Bombyx mori: one gene and its partner. The protein of the gene in region 1 purifies or fractionates together with the protein of each later gene. This does not show direct contact. Links are inferred from orthologs where the notes say so. Each region holds a gene or a part of one and is shown on either strand. Other genes may lie near its edges.

Region 1 (4,156 bases):
AAAAGGAACGCAGTCTATACAACTAAACTTTAAAAAAAAGACCGAAATCATATCTGTTGAATGAAAGAAAAATTAATCACAAAGATATCAAATTGATGAATTAAAATAACCTCCCAATAAATTCTAAAAAAGTTTGGAAACTCAGTAGATTTTTTAAGAGAACTCGAGAACCATCGATTTTATTTCTCGCATTTCGTAAATTCGAGCATAGTTATTGTTACCATAATTATCAAAAATGTTTAAGTGTAAAGGCGGCAGATAATGGCATGGAATGGTCCGTAATAAGCTCTTGTTGCGAGGAGGTGGTCACGACCCTCAGTATTGAGGAAACCGAAGCAAGAAGAAGAAGAAGTGTAAAGAAACTTCAAAACCAACGAAATAATACAATTCGTATAGCCTCTTAGTATACTCTCGACAAAATTTCCCCCGTAAACTTTAATAGGGGTTTGATTTATATAAATAATGTTGTAGATTTAATTTTTTCAGGTCTAGCTAAATTTAATTCTGTATGTCTTCTACCATTATGAAATGAAATTGATATTTATTAAAAATGTTTTGTAAAATGTACATAAAATGTAAACCCATCGAGCCTATTTCTGTGGTGAAGCAGAGCATTCTTATTTAAAACATGGAATAGCTGATAGTGCCCAATGCAATGATAACATTTTGTCTTAAAGTCGGCTTCAATGGCTCAATTAACCTTGTAATATCCATGGGAGAGGGGACAAACAATTATACCAAAAATAACTAGAAAATTTACTAAAATAACTAGGTATATGTACGACTTTTCTTCATTTTTTTGTCAAGATCAAGAAGCAACAACTTACCAAAGCAAAATGGTATAAATTAATGTTCCAGAGCGTTAATTATTCATTCTTCTAACATATGTTAGAAAGAGACAGACATAGAAAGAGAAAGAGAAGAAACGAGGGAAATAATCATTTCAAATTTGAAAATTATTACAATGTAAAAAATAAAAATACCATAAATGTTAAAATATATATAGTAAGAAATGTCTCAAATTCTTGATCATGTTTAATCTTTCTTTCGTAAAGAGGCGAAAGCCCTAAAAGAAGAAAGTAGTGATTGATTTTTCAATATTTTTCATCTTTTTGTAGTGATATTCTAACAGTCTATCGGGATATTTAACAGACTACGATATATAAATATATTAGACAAGTAATACCCGGTCAAATAGAAAATATTATGGTAAATAAAAAAAAAACAGGATTTGAAGGTTGATGCTTAACAATGTTAATTTTAAGGTTTGAAACGCGATTGTTGTTTGGGCGTAGGAAAACCATCTGTTTGATAATGAGTCATCAACCCCCAGTATCTTGTATTCCAAACACAGGCAAGATGTCGAAAGCTAAAAAAGTTATTGAAGAAGCCAAAGAAATAAATAATCCGGAAATCGATTTAGTCGACAAAGGAATATCTAGTCTCGAAGAGATTCCAGGCTTATGTGAGTGTCAAATAAAACCTGTTTTGTATCTTTTTTTTTTAACTAAATATTTTTAGTTCGTTTCAATTTTTACATCTATGTTTCAATAAAAAAGCTTAGATCGAAACCTAAGCTTAATGTATACTTTCGAATTTTAATTTATTCTACAGTTAGCTAATTTTAAAAACTAATAAATAACTGAAGTATTCTTACAATAAGTGTATTCGCCTACATAACCGTTGCAACTCATCTATAATAAATATTTTGAAGACAACAAACATGAAATATTAATTTAAACCTCATTTGGATGTAAATTCTCCAATGTTAACATTATATTAAACATAATAATATGTAATATAAGGTAAAAAATTGAAGTACTAATTAAAATATGACATCACTGCAGACCTATAATTCAAAATGAAACTCCTACGCCTTAAGACGGAACAGGATCAAACTTACGCTTAAAATAAGCCATGAAATATTGAAAAATGTTTGCAAGTTCCACACTACATTAGAACCATCAGTCTACTCAGTTATGGGTTTCAAGAAACTATGTGATTGAATGTACTGATGAAGAAATAGAAATAAAAGAATAACATTGCAGTGCTTTATCTGAAGGAAACAAACATCTTAGTGTCTTATGTGCTTATTAACCATTTAATATTAGAAGATTTGTGCATAGGGCCCACCTAAAGGCAATTAGTCACTGTTGTGCATGTGCTCAGTAATTATAGGGCAACAGCCATACTGGTCCATACTATTGAGCACTCCACAAACCTCATTTGAAGTAGAACAGGAAGGAAGGGAAAAATGGTGGAGGATAATTTATTCTAAAGCTGGATACAAAATAGCAGGAAATATGTCTGGTAATGCATTGTGGATGAATGCAGTGGTACCACATAGTATATTTGAATTGTGTTCTTGTGGTGGGCAATACAATAGTAAAAAGTAAATGAACAAATTCTTAGAGCACTTTCCAAGGAGCATACAGTACAAAAAACAGAGACAATTTACTTGTTTAAGACAATTTACTTTAGAGGGAATTCCTTCTGTAAACCCAAAGACTACAAATTGTCTATGTGAATAATATTATCAACAACATGGCCCTCTTTTGTATAGAAACAGATGGTTTGACCAGAGATGTGAGCAGTATTCCATGTGTGTCCGAACTTGTGCTTACAGATCAATGTATGATAAGAAAAAAGTTATGTAGCCCAAAGTATACAATGAGAAAACTATTTCTGTGATGACTTTGTATGCAAATATTAAATTCAAATAAAAATCTACCCAAATCTATTATCTTTTACAGTTTCTCTGGAGAACATCACTCGTCTGTCCCTAAGCCACAACAAAATCTCTGTAGTGCCTGCTGCACTAGCCAACTTGAGCAACTTAGAAATTCTAAACTTGGCCAATAACAACATTCAAGAGCTTCCAGTCAGCTTATCATCACTACCCAAGTTAAGGATCCTCAATGTTTCATTAAACAAACTGTATAACTTGCCAAGAGGCTTTGGTTCCTTCCCTGTGCTAGAGATATTGGATCTAACATACAATAATTTGAATGAAAAAGTATTACCTGGGAACTTCTTTATTATGGGTAAGTTATTTAAAATCATTTAAAATCACTAACTCTATTGGTTTTCTCACCCAGTTGAATATTCGTCTCTGGAACAACTATTGAACACTTTATCTCTAAGTACAAAGGCTATAGTGTGAATCTTTTTTGATGTTGATAGCAATAATGGATGTAGATGTAGGTCAAAATTTGTATGGTAGATAATTGGCTCCACCTAGTATCAAATGTGATTTGATACCTGCAATTCCATAGATATACATCAAAAGTTTACTATACAATTACATACATCTCACCACCAATCATGATGATTGACTAAATAGTACTTTTAATTCACTATTCACAGACAGTCTCCGTGCTTTGTATTTGGGTGACAATGATTTTGAATTTCTACCACCTGAAATTGGAAATTTGAAGAATCTACAAATTGTAAGCATTCTTTTAATCATTAGTCAAACTTTTAATTTACCCATGATTAGTGAGCTTTATAGACCACTCCATTAAATAACCTCTTACAGACCTGAGATATTTGAGTCTGCTACCTATAATATCTAAACTATAAGCGGAAATTGCATCCAAGCAGCATGCTGATATATACTACACAGACGATGGCACAATGCACAGCTTTCGTCGCCCTAAGCGTGTCAGATCCTTCCGATCCAATTAGTGTTTTAGTTCTAGTTAAACTTCTTGAAAAGTTCCACTTGTAACTTAACCTATAGACACAATCTGCTAAGTTTTCGCCGGATCTTCACAGACAGTCACAATTTCGATACAAGTATTAACAAGTTCGGTTGAGCCTGATGAGCTCATGTGCCAAAACGTACATAGCTGAATTAGCCCTTCGAGGCGAGCAGCGATTAATTATGGAAAAAACAATGTTATTGAAGAAGTTGGTAATGAAAAATACACAATTGGGGGATATCATTGTATGAAAATAGATTGTCTTAAAAATATCTATTTTTAATATAAGACCAAATCTTGTTTTTTATTGTTATGTTTCAAGAGAATTTTCTTAAGAGTGCTATATTTAGTGAAGGAATTAATAGAAGCTGTTTTAGTTTACAAATCGACTCATCTAGGATTCTTTATATATCTAGCTAATAGTTGTAAACCAATCCGGTCGTTTCCATACA
Region 2 (3,224 bases), on another chromosome or scaffold:
GGGCGCGACGACTTCAGACGTGCTCCTGTGATAACATAAATATAATTGGGAGTCTAAAATCTAGGGATAGCCAAAACCATTTTGTGATGCGACTGAAAAATGTTTTGTGATACGACTTCGCAAAATCATGATTAGTTTCTCTCAAAAACGTATTAATTTTATACGCAGATACCATTCGCGGATCTGTCACCAATGGAGTGCGGCATGAAGATAGCGCTTGAAGGTCTTCGTATAAGCATACCTCCGGGCGTGTCGCCTCACATCTCGAAACTCATCAAGATCTGCATGAACGAGGATCCCGGGAAACGACCATCTTTCGAAATGATCCTACCGATTTTAGAGAAGATGAAACGCTGATTTTGTTGAACGACACAATTAATCCGTTTTAATTTGGTAACTTTTTTTCCTCAAATGGTTTTGATACGTTTTTTTTTACTTCATTAAGGCAATGGCATCTTGAAGATTAAACACTATAGAGATGTGTCATGTGTTGTTAATACTCGTTGACCAGATCTAATATATTTTTAAATTGACAATAAAGTCATTGCCTTATCTATTTAAAAATAATACAATACCCAATGGCTTCATTATGTAAAAAATCCTACGTATTACCGAACAACTAAAACAATTGTTTAATACGTGTAACAAAAACATGAAAGCACTTAAAGGTTTTTCTAGCAGCCATTATTTTTAATTTTTTGTTGCGTAATCGTTCTATTTAGATTGTGTTCAGATTATTTTGATTTATGTTTTAATGGTAATGAAAATGTAACATTAACACGAGAAATGTTTTATAAATGCTAATATTTAAATCGGTGCTAAAATATATAATACTAAAATAAGTAAGCTTTATAATATTAAATGGTGTATTTTGAAAAATATATATGTATTATGAAATTAACGTAATAATAATATATTTCATACCCGCCGAGGTCAATATTAATTTTATAAATAAGTGCCATTTTTCTAGATCCAAGCATCACGTTGAATGAAGGAAAATTCGCATAGAGATTCGTCTTGAGTTTTTTTGTATTTATAAATACATAATATACTCAGGTCAACTAACAGACATTATTTTCAGATGAATTATCTAAATAGAACTTGTCAAAAAATGGTCTACAAAGATTTATATACATACATATTATATGCATTAGAAGCAATTGAAATTTGAAATGTTCTATTGGATAAGTTAAAATCATGTCATGTCAATCATCATCAATGCCTCTCATGCCTTCAATGTTGTCTTGTCAAATAACTATTAAATAGTATTTATTTAGAGAATCTCTGTCTTACAATAATAGCTTATAAATGTATCTTAAAATGTTATTCAAATGTGAAATGTGACATAAGCGTGCCTTAATACTGTTAATGAGGTCTTGATTTGTAGTAATCTAATCCTAATATATTATAAAATTAATGTGTGTTTTTTTGTTTAACCGGGTCTGTACGCCCGCTAGTTATCCGATATTTTAAAGCTACGTTTTTTTTTGCTATAGCTTCACCAACTTACGATGGGTGGCACTGGTCCAAGAAACATAACGTGTATTTTGAAGTGAAACTTCTAATGCGACTTCCAACAAGGTTGCGTTAAACGTTTAACGCTCCTGGGGAGGGGGAATAGAAAGAGACAGAGCGAGAGTGAATGAGTGGCACTCGAACGCATGCGCGTAGTATACTTGTTAAAGGCCAGCGCGAGCGTTAGCAACGAGTAGCGTCTAATATTTTAATGAAGTATTTAAAAAAAAATACTGGGTGTTAGGAGATCGCTTCCGCAAAACGAAGACAGACAATAGTGCTAATGACACCTTTGATGATGGGACGGAAAAAAAATATTTCATTTCTGTTTTTTTTTAGTAGAGTAACGTATTTTTCATGAAACTATCGTTTCATTTAGCTGTACTAACATAGGACTGGAGCGTAAATAATGCTAGTAAGAAGTTTTACAAATATGATTTTTTTTTAAATCAGGATTGATTTTTTCCGTCCCATCATGAAAGGTGTCATTACTACTATCGTCTGTCTTCATTTTCGGAAGTGGTCTGCTAACACCCAGTATATTTATTTTTCTATCTATGATATAATTGTTGAAGATGTCGCATCTCTTATACACAGCATTCCCTATTACAAGAGTAATCTGATTTAAGGATGAATGAAGAAAACCACAATACTACACATCGAAAAAGAAGTTTCACTTCATTCACGTGTACCAAGTTGTACGCGCACCATTTTTTGTATAATATCACGCGCTATGTTGCTTCCTTAAGCAAAAAGCCAGATCAGTTCCCCGGGAGAGTCGAGGGAGTAGAGGGAGTGGGTTGGTTTCTTAGTTGACCACGCATCGATGTTCTTGATGACCCTAAATAGTGGTTTAAATGTCTCTCTTCAAACGAGATAAGGTACTTTACACTCTAGATCTGACCGTCTCCGGTATAGCCGGTGGCGATACATAGAGGTAACTACCCATCATAATATATATATTTTGTTTTGTTGTCTTCGGCAACAAAAAAAAATGGCAATTTTATAATAATACAGTTGTGTAATTTAACAACTAACTATAACTAAACTAAAACTAATACATATTTTTATGTAATAAAATGTTCAATATATGGTTGTTTTTTTAAAATAGCTGCAGATTTGCTTTTTTTCCTTTTTTCCCCTCTAGTATTAAATATGTGGGATTCCCATTACACGAAGACAGTTAATAAATTGAACGAAAAAAAAACAATTGTAAGTAATTGCAGTACGATTTGCTCATAATATACTATTTGATTGAGCTTCAGTGCGTAGTACGCACTTGTTCTTGGATCAACAATAACTGTGTTCCGCATTATTCCGCAATCTTTTAAGGATTCTACACATATTTAGAGGCTTCTAACCAACATAATATTATTATGTCAAGGAGTGGGAAATAAAAAACATCAAATTAAATTTTTTTTTTTTCTTTTCTTGAATTTTATAAAATTACAAAACTTACAGAAATAAATCTATTATCATTCTCATACACGTTTGTGATCAAGGCAAGATAAATACATATTTTACTATTAAGTTGATGTAGAAACAAATACGTCTTTGGTGATGTTTTTAGAAAGTTGTTTTAACTTTATGTGATAGCTACCTAGTTAAATAGATATAGGTTAATTTTCAGTTAGTTATACAGTATCAATATAACGGGATGCCTTATAAACTCACTTTCACAATAGAGGTTAAATACAATAATACTTTCT

Evidence for each region. The genes of interacting proteins can lie anywhere in the genome.
Region 2: the proteins of ras suppressor protein 1 (region 1) and integrin-linked protein kinase purify together in Homo sapiens (affinity purification with mass spectrometry; 9 studies listed by BioGRID and IntAct, counting the BioPlex papers as one, with this or other methods). This does not show direct contact. The link is inferred for Bombyx mori from reciprocal best matches to the Homo sapiens genes RSU1 and ILK.

What each region holds. Positions count from the first base shown.
Region 1 is NC_085115.1:769,680-773,835, reverse strand, and holds the start of ras suppressor protein 1, read left to right. Parts: upstream 1-1,267; 5' UTR 1,268-1,314; coding exon 1,315-1,465; exon of another isoform or gene 1,466-1,753; intron 1,754-1,847; exon of another isoform or gene 1,848-2,159; coding exon of another isoform or gene 2,160-2,310; intron 2,311-2,753; coding exon 2,754-3,044; intron 3,045-3,366; coding exon 3,367-3,449; intron 3,450-4,156. UniProt on the Homo sapiens protein: Potentially plays a role in the Ras signal transduction pathway. Capable of suppressing v-Ras transformation in vitro.
Region 2 is NC_085117.1:15,195,677-15,198,900, reverse strand, and holds the end of integrin-linked protein kinase, read left to right. Parts: intron 1-168; coding exon 169-357; 3' UTR 358-2,625; downstream 2,626-3,224. UniProt on the Homo sapiens protein: Scaffold protein which mediates protein-protein interactions during a range of cellular events including focal adhesion assembly, cell adhesion and cell migration.